Arabidopsis thaliana: one gene and its partner. The protein of the gene in region 2 interacts with the protein of the main gene of each other region in a pairwise test. Each region holds a gene or a part of one and is shown on either strand. Other genes may lie near its edges.

Region 1 (8,940 bases), on a different chromosome or scaffold from region 2:
ACAAGGTCTGCTCCTTTCTTGCCTTGTCTGCAACTACCTGTTTGTATCTGGATTCGAACTATTTTGTTCGTCGAGATATATATAAGTAATAACACAGCTTAATGGCTATTAATGGTTGTTATATATAACTACTAATGCATTTCTAGAGTCATCATTCATACTTATATAAGTAATCGACAAATGCATATTCGATTGGCTACTCAATTGTTTGATTGTTGGTTGTGGCTTTGTGTTTCAGGTTCAATGGCCACTATCTATTGTCATATCAAAGAAAGCATTGTCAAAGTACCAGTTAATTTTCCGCTTTCTTTTTCATTGCAAACATGTGGAACGCCAGCTTTGTGGTGCTTGGCAGATACATCAAGTAAGGACTGATATAATATTGTGTAGCTTGTAATTTGTTTCAGTTTTGGTTTCTTCTAAAACCATTTTAATCATTTTGCTTCGCTAACAAACTGCTGTGAAAATTCTACAGGGGATTCGGTCTATGAACTCTAAGGGTACAGCAATTCTTAGATCATCGCTTCTCTGCCGTAGCATGCTTAAATTCATCAGTAGCCTTCTACATTATCTTACATTCGAGGCAAGTCTGAATGTTCTTTTTGTTTTGTTTTGTTTGTTTTTTAAAACATTTTTTTTTGCTAATAGAATGGAATCTGAATATTTTTTTGTTTTTTAAAGATTCTGATTGTCTATTCATAGATCCTGTTTTCCATTGTGATTTTGCGGTGTAAGTCTCTGGAAAACTAACTTCTAGAATTGCTGACATACACTCTGTATATTGAATCCAGATATCTCTGTAGTCGTAAAAACCATACTTACAAATGTAGGCACTTCTTGCAACTGTGTTTTTCGAGAAATACATTCTTGAAAACGTGATTCTGGAGAAATAAGTACACTATCAATGAACAGAGGAGAGAAATCACACCAGAAGTATATAAAGACATAATTCTTTATGAGATGATTTGGTGTTTATTTTAGCAACTATTGCCTCTCTAAGTTTTTCTAATGTTGTTTTTGCTTGTCTTTATGTGGGATGTCTCTTCAGGTTCTCGAACCAAATTGGCATGTAATGCACGATAGACTACAATCCACAAGGAGTGTAGATGAGGTAAGTGTAGAGACCTGCTTTGTTTTGGTTTGCAGGGAAAACATTCTTCATTGAACAATGTGCCATCATCTTGCAGGTGATACAACATCACGACTTTTTTCTTGATAAATGTCTGAGAGGATGCTTGCTTCTTTTACCTGACGTCCTTAAGGTTTGTCGCTGTTCCACTAAATGTTATGTTTTCTCAGGACAGATGTAACAGTGTGATGTGCTTCTCTTTCGTGCAACAAGAGCAAAAATTCTGAACGCACTAATAATAGTGTAATGTTTATCAATATTTTACACTCATATTTACTGATGGTGCAGAAAATGGAGAAGTTGAAATCAGTGTGTCTGCAATATGCTGCAGCCACACAGTGGTTGATATCATCGTCTATCGACATCAATAGCCAGTCTCATCCACAGAAGACAATGATAAGAGACACAACCGTTACAGAGTCCATATTGTAAGTAGTAACAAGGAATTGTTTTTCAAACTAATGGCTACACTATCTCTACAAAAGCCGTTGCTGTTAGAATTTTTGAACTTCATTATCACGGTATTGTTCTAATATGTCTGTTACGTGTTCTACCAGCAATTTCGAAAGGGAGTTCAACTCGGAGTTGCAGAGCTTAGGACCAGTCTTGAGCAAAGGCTCCCAGGCTGAGCCATACTTGACTCATCTCTCCCAGTGGATCCTTGGTGTTTCGAAAGAATAAGAGGTGAGACTTTAACTAAACAAACTCAGGCAATTCAATTTGTTTTTTAATGTTATCAAATGATATTCAGCTTGAGAAGTTGTTATGAGATGTGTGCGTGTGTTTAGGCTTTTGTTGTCGTTTCTTTATTTTGTTTGTGAACTCCACGATATAAGAACAAGTCTCAGGCTCTCTGTTAAAAATTTGCATTCAAGATTTGTGGGTTTTCACTGCAACTACATGTCTCTTGAGGGAAGTATCTGTGAATCTTTTACTGTGTAACTAAAAAGTAGTTTTGTTCAAATTTTCTTACAATGCATTACTCGCTCACAATAAACCCAGATCCATCTGTTTTACTGGCTAATATACAATAAACAAAATCCAATTATGCAATCCAAAGAGAGAAGTGAAAACACTCTCGACAAAGTACAGAAAAAGTTTCAGAAGACGAAAAAGATTTTGCTTCAGCAGTTGATGCCACACTTGGAAGTGTCAGGTCCTTTGGTCTTGAGCACAAAAGGATCAATTCTTACCCAAAGCAAAGAGAAGATAGATGCCAATAACACTGACCAAATCACCACAATGGTTGGTGTTCTGTTCTGTCTACCCATCAGACCTTTGAGGAATGGGTAGAGATGAACAATGACCCAAAAGGAGAAGAAGAGTTTACCAAATAGAGGTCCCCAAGACTGATATCCATTGTTAATGGCATCTGAGATGCCTGCAACAACGCCAACAATGTTTATGATTAAGACAGTTGTTGGAGGGATCAGCAGTGTTGTCCATTTGAATGCGTAAAGTTCTCCAAAGTCATCATCATCTGTTGCCTTTGATGTGACGGTGAAGTTTGTGTCAATGCCTGCTAAGATTTTGAGGAGACCTTGGACAACCGCAAAGAGATGAGCTGAGATTCCTCCAATGACCCAGAATTGCTCGTTTCTCCACCATTCCTCAATGCTAACTCCGCTCCATCTCAATTCCAAGATTCCCGTTACAATGATCGACATAAACAGTGAGATGAAGAAGAGACTAGCAAATGTGCTTATCTGAAAGAAAAATTGGGAAAACAGATAGTTAGCACATTTGATGCAGCTTCTAAGTGCTTTTCTCTGATAATTTTACTAACCGGTGGCATGATGAATTTGTCAGTAAGGAGACAGATGGCTGGAAGGATACAGTAGGCAAGAAGTGGTATAGATGTGAAGGGGTAGATTGTTGTGTTGGCATAAGCAAAACGCTCAAGCCACTTGAGTTTGCCTCCTTTGTAGCCATACCAGAGAGGACTGTGCCGGCTGAAAAATATCTCAACCGATCCAAGTGCCCAACGCAAAACCTGGTTTAACCTGTCTGATAGATTAATAGGAGCTGAACCTTTGAATGCAGGCCTCTTAGGCATGCAGTAAATAGACCTCCATCCACGGCAATGCATCTTGAATCCCGTCAAAATATCCTCTGTGATAGAGCCATAGATCCAACCCAGCTGCAATTTCGAGATACACAAACGTTTTTTACAATGGCCAGCTACTAAATCACAAATAAGAAGGTGATTTCTACGATTCAGTATTATTACCTCAGTTCCCCACTCAGTCTTGTCTTCATAACCGCAGCTTATGACATGGATTGCCTCTTTAAGGAGCACTGCAGGACTTGATGACGGAGGAACACCACCTTCTTCCATCAAAGTTGAGGTTACAAAGATGGATGATTGCCCAAATGTTTTCTCAAAGTTCATTTCAGACATCAAATGCTCCTTATCACCTTCTGCTCCTGCCAAAAAACACTATCAGATCCGCAAGATTCCAACATAAACGAAATCTACTGCAAGAATGGACTGATATTATAAGGTTGTTGGGATAATTTACCTCCAAGGGCTGCTACGTCACCATTCATGTCATTCTTGGAAAATTTCTTATTCTTTCTCCGGCGCCCAAAGCAAGGACAACAACCACAGCTTATCATCTTTGGACGTTTAGGACCCTTTGGTGGTTCATAACCATACAGAGCTTGTCGTTTGAAAACACAACCAGTACCAACGTAAACTGGACCTTGGATTCCATCTAGACCTTTCATATTGATCTGTAGCAAACAAGAGTGTAAGCAAGAGGGTACATTTTCATTTAGACCAGAAGTTGGAAAAATATGAATTGAGTCTTACATCAAAGAAGACTGTGTTTCTGTTGGCGTAACGATCGTTTGTGTCAATGCCATCAAACCTTTGAGGGAACTGAACATAGCAGACCTTCTTTCCAATCTGAGGATCCATCAAAAAACACATTGCTTCCCTCACGGCCTTGCTGTTGTTTACATAGTGATCACAGTCCAAGTTCAGCATGAAAGGAGCATTTGTGAGTACGCCTGCCACTCGAACCTGACAGAAGTATCAGGTTAGGTCCAAGACACGGAGATCAGTTTCTTGTTTGGTCCAAGGCAGATCAAGAAAATTACCAGGGCATTCATGGCGCCAGCTTTCTTGTGGTGTTGAAAACCAGGACGCTTCTCACGGGACACGTACACAAGCCGAGGAAGCTCATGCCCTTCGACATCAAATCCTCCGCTGTGGCCGAGGAAGACTTGGATCATACCGGGGTGGTCCTTGGTGTTGTTCCCTGGCCACGGTGTTCCATCTTGCATGATCCAACCTTCTAGAGGAACCTTTGAGGCCTTCGCCACTTGAGCGTTGATCCTGACCTTGAACTCCTCATATTCTCTCTGTCATATGTCAATTTCACTTATGAAGTTTAGATTATAGTGAAAAGATGGGTGGTGGTATAACTAGATCAGGTGATATACACTGACCTTCATGGCTCGACGTTCCTTAACAAATGTTGGGTGGACTTTGTCCTGGAGATAATCAACTTTCAACGTGAAGTACATCTCCGGTGCCCGTGGCTCTATGGAGAATTTCTTACAGAAGGGAACCCATTTTCTTGCAAACTCAGCAGTTTCCGAGAGAGATTCGAATGTAAGCATTGAAGCACCGTCGTCAGAGACATAGCAGGAGATTTTCTCAACTGGGTAGTCCATGGCCAAGATTGACAGCACAGTGTTGGATGTGACGAGGGGAGGCTCCTTCAATGGGTCCACCGTACTGACAAAGACATCTACAGGGGCAAGCATATTTGGTTCACCTTCTCTCTCGTACCTGTATAAACAAAAAATATTTACATCCAAACTCCAACGTCATAGATTTTAAGACTTCTACTTGAGAATCTGTGGATTTTACCTGAGGGAAAGCCGATCTAGATAGGTCTCACGTTCAATAGGGAACCACTTGGGGAACTGATCAAGAATCCAAGAGACAGCGAACCAGATTTCACAGATCACAGAGGTCAGCCATAATCCCAGAGCATCATGCACTGGATTCAAGAGCCTATACCGCAGAAAAACTGCTAGAATCACAAGCCTAGCGACGATGACCATCCGATATGGATTGATCTTGCTTGAGGCAATGGGAACTTTCCGCGAGAGTGGCTGCCGTGCCTCGTCGATCCTACAGCCATTTCCAGTCAAATCCAAAATTTTGTAAGCATGAATCCAAATCATACAAAACTGATGTCTTAGATAAATGTTTGTGGAGGCATTACAGTCCCATCTCAGGATCATCATCTGGTTCTGGCCCAAGATTTCCATGCTGGAGCTTCCAGTCATCCATTCTTTCCCGCCATCCTCCCTCACTCCCTACCACATTAAAATTACACACATAAACAAAAAGGAAAGTATTGTTAGAAAAAGGGTCTGCTGATGAATTTCATAGAAAGAATGTAATAGAACCCAAAGTCCATGTTTATGAAACTATGTCCCTATCTACTATTAAGCTGGAAGGCCTCATACTTATGTTATTTGCACATATGGAGATATGCATGACCCTAACTAATCATCACTGTGAGACATTCTTAAATCTATATGTAAGTTAACATTTCCATGAGACTCACCAGCTTCAGATGATGGATATGGGTGCACACGCTTATGAAGCCCATGTTCTCCATTACCATAACCTCCTCCAACTGGAAATTCTCCACTATGACCACCAGCTATAACAGGTGGGAATCTCCCATTCTCATCATCCTCAGGACCTCTTCCATAGCTCATTTTCCCATAAAGCATAGCCTCAGCAGAATGCTTATGCTTATCTTGTTCATGTTCGATATTAAATTCATACTCAATATCATCAATATCTTCTTCGTCTTCATCTCCCTCCACTCTTGGGCTTCCTTCAGAAACCAAAAAACAGATCATTACTCTCCAAGTTCAAACTAAAAAAAGGAACAGCCTTTTTAAATTTTCATAGAGGCATTTCGTCGAACAACACAAGAGCAGAGGGAGATTAATAAATAACTTACCTCTGAGACGCTTGTAACGAGTCTTACACTGAGGACAGTTTTGTGTTCCTTCTCTTCTCTCGTACTCATAGCAAGGTCTACACGCCGGAAAACCACACTCATTGCAAGCTACGAAGAGGTCTCCTTCTACTGTTAAACCAATCTGATCTCCACATATCTCACAGAATTGTCCATCTAGATTCTTCAGAGGCTTTGGCTGTTATAATTACACAAAAGTTTAAGTTCCTTAAAGACGAAATAAAACCTGAAATTTCTAATCAACAAAAAAAGATTCTAATGAAGTAAAGATAATAAAAAAAATGACAGCGATTAAAATGGTTAAACCTGACTTCTCAACTTAATATTACCAACAAAATTATTATGTTTGCTAACAAAGATATGAATTTTCTACAACATTATTGCAACTACAGAATACAGATTATAAATTTTTGTCTCATAATAAGAAGATGATTTTAAAAAATGATCATATTTTTATTCCCAAAACATACGAATTTTTAAAAAATAGTAACCAAATAAAACGAAAAAATGCAATAATATTTTACTAGCGTTGGTAAAAAAAAACTTTGGTAAGTGATGAGAAAAAGTAAATGTGAAAAACCTCTTCATGGTTGTGAATGACGACTAGTTCATTACGGTTATGAGAACCGGCGACAAGACCGGCGCTAGCTTCCATAGGGACGGCCGGAGATTAGCAGCGATCTTGAGAGAACAAAACGGTGATCAATGAGAGACGAATAAGTTTGGTTTTTATGTGTGAAAAGCTTTTAGTTTCTCTCTCTGTATGGTACATAGTTTGTTGTAGAGTCTCCATTGCCTTCAAGCTAAGCTTTCGTTTTATATTATTTCTTTTTTGTAAAAACAACTGTTTTAGTAAAAATTTCTACACAACTGCAACAAACTCATCACTCACATCCATCAGCTGATGACATGTCTTTCTTTCATCGTCGCGGTTTCCTTAAGCTTCTCTTTTTTATCCTTTGCAGGTCTCTCTCATTTTACTTACTGTCCTAATCTCATTTCCTTCTGTTTTCATTATACTAATTATATATGTTCATTTTATTCAAAAGGATCCTATTATTTTACCCTTTAACAAAAAAAAAACTATATACAGTATATGCATGCTGATAATTCGTAAATATAATAAATCTGGTATCTTATTATATAAAGTGATCGGCCAAAATACTAGTAATTTTGAATTAAAATTAGTTAGGGGGTAAGGTTTGGTGAGAGGAGTGCAAGCCAAGTTACGTTCCCTGTCCTTAATTAGGTGAATTTTCTGCATACATAAGCTAAAGAGAATGTAAAGATCATATATGCCTTTGATCTTCTTCACCCTTTCTTGTTCATTCTGTTTCCATGACAATTCCTCTGCGCCAATCCTTTTTCTTTTGGAGTCTGCGGATAAAGATCTAGTCCATGGGACTAGGCAGGTTCAGAAGCACAACGGGCTGGGCCTTGACCAGCCATGGTTGTTTCCAAATACAAAACAAATCGAATCAAGTGGGCAGCTACTTGAATTCTGTTAACATCGAAACCAGAATTTTGAGTCTCTTGCACCTATCAATACAAAACCAAAAAAAAAAAAAACTTATGATTCGGAAACAAACAACAATTTTATAGTTATACAACTAAATTAGACTACACTAATAAATAAATAAAATGATCCTCAATCTGAAAATTTTATCCAAATAATCGAAACTATGAAAAAAGTTATAAGAAAATTACCCAAAAAAAGGAAAAAGAAAAACAGAATCAAACTGTTCGCAACATACAAAGCAAACAACTAAAAGATCTTTTACTTATTTTTCTAAGTGTCGTTCCAAACTGAAAACGTTGGAGCCCCTTCTCCACCACCTTCCCCGTGAAAGTACATGTTAGAGCTATGGTTATTCGAAATCGCCACCGGAAAATCTCCTCCCGGCGACTGCTGAATCTGCTGTTGTTGCTGATGCTGAGCATAGTAATAATGATTTCTTGCGTTGTAAGCAATCTCAGCAGCAGTAAAGGGATCGTAATTAACCGATGTTCCAACAGGGATTGCGAATCCTTGATAACCACCATAACTAACAACATTTCCACAAACGGTAACAGAATCATCAGAGGTCGAGCTATGATGATCAACATTAGTCATGTGACTCGGCGAGTTTCTCAAGAAGTGTTGTTGTTCCTCCTCTTGTTTGAAACAAACCCTAGTACTCTCGGTAGACAAGTTTCCTCCATTGTAATAACCAACGTACCTCTCCTGCTGTTGCTGCAATAAGCTCAAATCCATTCCCTGATGATGCTGAAACGCAGTGTTTTGCCAACCGCTAACATTATTTGCACTCTCTGAAACGTTATTACTAATCATCATAGCTGGAACCGGATTATTAACGTCCTTGAGACGTTTCGCAGAACTACCAATAGGTAGACTCGGGCTCTCGAGGATTGCTTTAACATTGTATCTGTTCATGTCGAAGTTAGTCACTGCGCTTAATCCTCTGAATTTAATGGCTGCAATGTCATAAGCCTCAGCAGCCTCTTCCTGTGTGCCTACATAATTTGTATGATTCACTTAGATATATTTGTGTATATTTAATATCTTATAGTATATAGATTTTATTGGAAAATGTACCGAAAGTTCCCAAGTAGAGGTCTTTGTTACCGGCGACTCTTCCGATCCTAGCTTGCCACCTTCCATGTTGGTGATGCCTTTTGGAACCATTTTAAAGGAAATATTAATTAGATTAGATTAATAGTATTGTATGACAATTATTATGTATACATCAAAAAAAATAATGAAACACTGTATTCGTTCCATATCTAGATGGA
Region 2 (6,788 bases):
TTCTTTCACTTGGTAAGTTTAGAGTTTAGTATTCTTGACTTCTATAGGGTTCGTTTGGTTGTCTCGGGACAAAAAAACCTATAAAGAACCATAAGACTGATTCTTGGAATGTGCTTGTGATTAGCTGAGAGATATAGAGATGTTATCATGGACTGTTTTGTGTTTCTTCTTATGTGTTTTATTTCGCTGCAGTTCTTAAAGTAGCTTCAACGTCTGGTGAGAAGACGCAGGCGCCAAGTACTCCATCTTCAGAGCAGAAAGCAACCGAGGGCACTCCCGGGTACATATATATAAACTAATTTTCTGTTTTGTTTGTGCTTCCATGGGCAAGTGAATCTTAGATGATAAACCGGTGTTTGCTTACTAATACTTTGATAGGAGATTCTTCAGCTTTCTTGTTTTATTGCACGTAGTTGATAGTGAGATGATATATTGGTCTTGTGGAACTAAAATATGGCGCTTTATGTTGACGTTTTCTTCTTTTGGAAATTGTTTCAGGAGTACCACTAGAGTTTCGTCAATCCGGCAACTTTCTAGCAACTTTGCTCAGTTTAATAACCTGAATGCTTCTTCCCGCCAGAGAAAACCTTTGACGATAAAGGTATACTAATTAAGACGTCTTTCATTGACTTTAGTACTCTATGAAAAATCTCCATTTAGTTGTTTTCCTCTTATCAGTTTTTGTTCTGTCTATATTCTATAGGATGCTCAAGCTTTAAACGAGTGGCGGTTTACAAAGCTAAAAGAGTACAGAGACAGAAACATTGAAGTAGAAAATGAAGCTTTTGATCGGTACATGAGTAATGTGAATTTACTCGAAGAAGCATTTTCATTTACATCTGTTCCTGATGAAGAGAGTCATGGAACAGCAGCTCCTGAGCAAAACAAAGAGGAAAATATTGTTTCAGAGCTTAAACTGAGGCTGAGATCGAACTCTGCAAGAACAGAGAGCTTTAAGAAGCGGATCGCGGAGACAGTCAAAGCCGGTTTGGTGAAGCTTAAGAGACTGGATTTAGGCAGTTCTTCAGATGATCAAGATGATATCAAAAGGCGGGTCAAAAGAAAGAAATGGGAAGAGAAAGGTTCAGCTTTGAATGAAATAATCGATAAACTGAACAAAGCAAGAACCGAAGAGGATCTCAAATCTTGCTTAGAGATGAAATCAAAGCTCTGTGGTCAAGTTTCTCCCACTGCTGCTTCCGAGAAGAACAAGATCTTTCCGGGTGTAGTCCGAAAAGTTGAGATGAGTGAAGAAGCACTTCAAAAAATCGCTGAGAATCTCCAATCTTTTGACAAAGTTGGAATGTTGTGAAGTCGAGAACATCCTGTGGATGAACTGAAAAGTTTGAGTGGCAAGAAAATTTCTAGATCCTTCGTGACCACGGTATTGTACAATGATCAAACATCCCTCAAAACTGATCCTGAAGACTCCAAAGACTCAAGAGATTCTTGTAAAGTAGTGTTGAGCATCATTTAGATATTAGAACTCAGCCATGGATAAAGCTGTTGATTCTATCTCATTGGATTTTTTTCACTGTGTGTTGTTGCTTTGTTAGATTTGAAATTGCTCATTGGATTACCTTTGACTTAATAAATAGTTGGTTTGGTTTGGTATTGGATAACCGCTCAGTCTAATTAGACCGGTTTGTTTTTTTGGAAAAAAATGAATCCATCCATCCATAGGCCACTTTCAACACGTATATTTGAAAACGACTAAAACCAAACTCTTAGATTCTAGTTTTGTTTTGCTGCCCCAATTCCACTATTGATCAAAACATATCCAAAAGTTTTTGTGGAACTAAAAAGTAAAAATAACGTTTAGTTTGTTTCCAATTTCAACCATATATATCTTATTCATATATGCATGTTGTGGTTGTCTCGTGTGTGTAGTATTCATTTACATTATGCAAACCAACTGGAAACATGTTGAATGGGTTATGGGTTGGTGGTTGGGACTTGAGGATCAAACAACTCAAATGAGCTCATTATAAGTTAAGCTCTCAATAATCATTAATTTATTTTTGTTACCACCTAATATTTCTACGAAGGGTTGGTGTAACAATTTTTAATTGTAAGATAATTGTGTAATCATTTTCAATATTAATTTTTATTATGTATTTATTTTAAAAAGTTATATAATACGTAACACATTTAGTACTTGGTTTTGGTAGCTTCATCAATGTACCATCCGAAGTTCCAAAAAATAAAAAAAAATGTCGATTTCACCGTTGGTGAAAAAGAAACTAAATTGATATGTATTATTCATTTTTTAGAAGAGATTATGGGTTTAAATCTGAAACTTCTTAGTTAAATTTTTAATTAATTTATTTATTTTGCATGCTTTATTATATATTTGAAATTAGAATCTACATGATTAATGATTTTTTTCTCAGATAGAATAAAAAATATATTTACTGATAAATTATTCTTTTACATCTTTCCGGATTCGCTACTAATGTGTTTTTGTTAACTTTAACCAGATTGCTTATGGATTATGATATATAGTATCCATTACTTAAAAAGTAAAAGAGATGAAAAACCAAGAATAATTAATGTCACCAAACTATCAACAACAACAAAAAGAGAGTGTAATATTCAAGATAAACGAATCCTATTATATAAAAAAAGGTGGGAAGAAGTTGCTGTCTAATGATGTAATTATGTTAACTAGTGTGCTAAGGAAAGAAATCAAGCAAGTCTCACACATACACATGTTATGACTTATGATTAGCGACAAGCATTTCATTTTATTTTATTTTTGCTAAGCAAACCTTTTGTTTAGTAAAATAGACAATGTGCAAAAAATTCCAAACTTCTTAAATTGAAAAAAATACTATATTTAAATTTACCTTTTTAAGTAAGAAATTAAAAGATTTTGTAGTACACTACATGTTTTAAAACAACCACTATCCAAACAAAAACTTGGTCACCGAATAAACTGTAGAAATATCGATTTCCGTCATTTAAATTCACTTTATTTTTGGTTGTTTTTTTCTTGGAATATGCAAGAGTAATGGCGTGGTTGAAGACACGAGAGAGAGAGAGAGAATCCTAAAGAAAAAGCCAAAGCATATTAAGAAGAAGAGAACCAAAACGAACAAACCCAACCCTAAAGAAACACTATTATTAAACCTATATTTATAGACATTTAAAGAGAGAGTGAAAGGTGCAGAAGAAAACAGAGACAGAGTTCAAATACCTTAAGATCACATCATCATATAGCTTTTGTATCATTAAAATGGCAGTTCAAGCTCAACACCATTCCTCCAATCTCCTCTTCCTCAATAAAAGGTTCATTTTCTCTCTGTAAATTCATTATTTGCTTTTAGTTTTGCTTATTGATTACGGTTTTATGTTTCTTTGTGTGAACAGAAACGGGAAAGAGAAAGAACATAGTAATTTTACATTACAATCACAAGCAGCTGGAGATTTTCTTGATCAAACCAATATGTTATTCAACAATGGAAGTTCGTAAAAGTTCTCTTGTTTTTTCCATTAAAATTTACCAAAATTAGGAGACAAAATGAGAATGTGTGTGTATGTCTCTTATTATAGGTTCTAATCAGAGAAAAAGAAGAAGAGAAACGAACAATCATCAGTTATTACCTATGCAGTCTCATCAGTTTCCTCAAGTTATAGACTTATCTCTATTACACAACTACAATCATCCACCGTCGAATATGGTTCATACAGGACTCCGATTATTTTCCGGCGAAGATCAGGCACAAAAGATTAGTCACCTGTCTGAAGATGTTTTTGCTGCACATATCAATAGGCAAAGCGAAGAACTTGATGAGTTTCTTCATGCCCAGGTTTTGATTTCGTACGAGACGATTTGGGTTACGCAAAAGTTTTGATTTTGTTCTCATCGGAAAAAGTGTAAAACTTTTTTTCTTTTGTATAGGCGGAGGAGCTACGGCGTACATTAGCGGAGAAGAGGAAGATGCACTATAAAGCGCTTCTTGGTGCCGTGGAAGAGTCGTTGGTTCGTAAGCTGAGGGAGAAAGAGGTAGAGATAGAGAGAGCCACGCGCCGTCACAATGAGCTGGTGGCACGTGACTCGCAGCTGAGAGCGGAGGTGCAAGTATGGCAAGAGAGAGCTAAAGCGCACGAAGACGCCGCCGCGTCGCTGCAGTCTCAGCTCCAGCAAGCCGTTAACCAATGCGCCGGTGGATGTGTATCGGCGCAGGATAGTAGAGCGGCGGAGGAAGGGCTATTATGCACCACAATCAGCGGAGTGGATGACGCCGAGTCGGTGTACGTGGATCCGGAGAGAGTAAAGCGGCCGAATTGCAAAGCTTGCCGGGAAAGAGAGGCAACGGTGGTTGTGTTGCCGTGTCGGCATCTGAGCATCTGCCCGGGATGTGACCGGACAGCTTTAGCTTGCCCGTTGTGTCTCACGTTGCGGAATTCAAGTGTTGAAGCTATCTTTTGCTAAATGGGCCTAATTCAAGCCCATTAGGTTGTTATCGTAAATAGAACTTAGTAGGTAACACAAATATAAATTTCATTGGTATATGATATACCGTATATCGAATCCACTAGCTATTAAGGAAGCCCTCTAAATTTTACAACAAAAGAAGTTTTTTTTTTTTTTTTTTACTTTTCATTACTTGGGATTCTTTACACAGATATGGGATATGGAAATGTTGCTATTCGTACAAAATAGTTAACTAAGCTAAGAAACCCATTTTTGGGGGGCCTAAAGAAAGGGTTACAGATTTCTATCTTACAAATTTCTCAGTCATTGGGATCTATACCTTTCTCTGCTTCTTTTAACTGATCTTCATAATCGTCCAACAAGTAATCACAAATCTCCAGTAACTGATCTGCCAAAGGTGGTATTCCTGGGTTACGCCCATCGTTGTAAAGATGAGCATTGTACTTTATCTGCCAGACATCGTGTCTAAACTGTTCTCGGTTTCTGTACTCTATCTTCCGTACCTTATCTCGGATTGTCGAGAGATCCATCGGGTTTTCCACGATATCAAGATAATCTGGAGCTTCCTTCTTGGATACCGGTTTCAAGAAGAGACGTGACACTTCTTCTTTTAGTCTTAGTGTGTCCACTATGCGTTCCAAGATGTTTGCTAGGCCAACCTGTTGGTAATTGAATTGAGGAGAGAAAACAAACAAAGGTTGAGGTTATGTAGACATATGAAAGCATGCTACGTGGCTATAGAGCATTTACTTCAACTGAACAAAGTGAAATATGGAAGCAAAGAGAATTTTACCTCTCCTTTTTTGCGTCGTTTTGGTTGAGGCGCATATTCTGCACCATCTCTTTCAAAGTCGGACACATAGCGGCTTCTGACGTTTCGACCTCTTTCTGACAATCTTCTATCGTTTTTTCGAGGAGGATAGTCTTCTAGATACCCTTCTACAATTTCGGGTTGCAGTTTCTTTTTCTTCTTTTTCTTCTTGGCTTTTTGTCGTTCCTCTTCCTCCCTCTCACTCCGTATTACCTCTTCGTATCTTCTGATCTCAGCTATCTCATTGGGTTCTTCTGATACACTCATATCATCATAATCTCTTCTCGCCCTTACTTCCCTATGTCTTCCCGTACTTATCTCCTCTTCTTCCCACCATACTCTATCCTCTTTCGGTCTCCGCTCCAGAGAATTCTCTGACAATCTAAAGCTCTGCTGCCTCTGAAAACCCGCCAGTTCTGCCATTCTTTTTGTTTTCCGGGACTCAAACCGTGGACTCTCTTCAAGACTACTCATGTCATGATCATTCATCTCTTTCGAACGTTTTATAACAAGTTTCTTCTGAGGCTGTTCTCTTTCTGTCGGTGGTCGTATCACAAGATGAGGCCTACGCGATTCAGCTTGATCTGTGTCCATACTTAATGATGGCCGCGGGATAGAAATAGTGTGCCTGCTTGAGGCTGCCTGATTTCTCTCTGTACTAGACAAGGGTTGTCCAGAGACGGAAGGCTTGTGTGATTCGCTCTCCCCTCTCTCTCTGCTAAATGTAGGCATCAATGAATGTGAACGTCTCTCAGATTCACCCTTTGATTCTTTAGGTTTTGCCTTACTTGAAATCTTGAGTTTGCTGATCTTAGATGTGGACTTAATCCCAGTGTCTATGTCAGACACCACCGCTTGCTCAGAACTTCCTGGAGCTTCAGAAACAGGTTTATCTGACAAATCTCCAGCGGGGATACCATATCTAAACTTCAGAGGGAGACCCCCAGTTTTGGAACTTAACTTATCTCCCTTCAGAGCTTCATCTACAGAAGTTTTCATTGCACTTTTTGGCGCAGCTTTGCTGTTCTTAATAGGTTTCAGCTTGGGCAGACCTGATGGTTCTGAAGAACTCGGTTTTCCGGCAGACTTATCCATATCTATGCCTTCGGGTTGTGATTCTGTATTTTCCCTGTATCTTGGGCAGTGTTTATTGGTTCTCATGTGCCCATGCTGGCCATGAAGATAATATTAAACACTTTTCTCTACGAAGTAAGTTTAGATTCAAAATCTAGTCTAATAAGTAATTATACCTGACCACAGGCTCCACAAACAAAGTTCTCTCTCGCCGATTTCTTTTCCTTGAATACCTGGTTTAGACCAAAAGAACAGGCAACACCTCAGAATGACCATAAACTAAATTTTATACATGCTGTACTGATTTGATTGTACCTTTAGGTTTTCGTTCAGTATTTTGACCTTCTTCAACTGGCCCAAAGAATTGCTGTTCTCTTTTACCTGTTTACCTTTGGGGGTCTTTATAATAGAATCAACCTGCCAATGAAGATACGAGTTGGTCAAGACATGCAAGACATCATG

Evidence for each region. Proteins that work in one complex are often made in the same cells at the same time.
Region 1: the proteins of AT1G32740 (region 2) and IRX3 interact in a protein complementation assay, tested with the Arabidopsis thaliana proteins (one large-scale study listed by BioGRID).

Annotation. Positions count from the first base shown.
Region 1 is NC_003076.8:5,734,606-5,743,545, forward strand, and holds IRX3 (Cellulose synthase family protein), read right to left. Parts: upstream 6,896-8,940; 5' UTR 6,803-6,895; coding exon 6,728-6,802; intron 6,326-6,727; coding exon 6,130-6,325; intron 6,001-6,129; coding exon 5,722-6,000; intron 5,468-5,721; coding exon 5,374-5,467; intron 5,280-5,373; coding exon 5,013-5,279; intron 4,932-5,012; coding exon 4,586-4,931; intron 4,499-4,585; coding exon 4,235-4,498; intron 4,158-4,234; coding exon 3,945-4,157; intron 3,866-3,944; coding exon 3,652-3,865; intron 3,557-3,651; coding exon 3,360-3,556; intron 3,270-3,359; coding exon 2,916-3,269; intron 2,836-2,915; coding exon 2,254-2,835; 3' UTR 2,025-2,253; downstream 1-2,024. Other genes in the region: AT5G17410 (Spc97 / Spc98 family of spindle pole body (SBP) component), read left to right, coding at 1-5, 239-364, 476-583, 1,049-1,111, 1,188-1,262, 1,418-1,557, 1,687-1,810; BBM (Integrase-type DNA-binding superfamily protein), read right to left, coding at 7,937-8,661, 8,744-8,820.
Region 2 is NC_003070.9:11,841,645-11,848,432, forward strand, and holds AT1G32740 (SBP (S-ribonuclease binding protein) family protein), read left to right. Parts: upstream 1-3,015; 5' UTR 3,016-3,238; coding exon 3,239-3,291; exon of another isoform or gene 3,292-3,352; coding exon of another isoform or gene 3,353-3,372; coding exon 3,373-3,467; exon of another isoform or gene 3,468-3,539; coding exon of another isoform or gene 3,540-3,555; coding exon 3,556-3,812; intron 3,813-3,904; coding exon 3,905-4,438; 3' UTR 4,439-4,703; downstream 4,704-6,788. Other genes in the region: AT1G32730 (electron carrier/iron ion-binding protein), read left to right, coding at 193-280, 499-601, 704-1,312; HAF01 (HAC13 protein (HAC13)), read right to left, coding at 4,741-5,100, 5,235-6,422, 6,503-6,559, 6,642-6,743.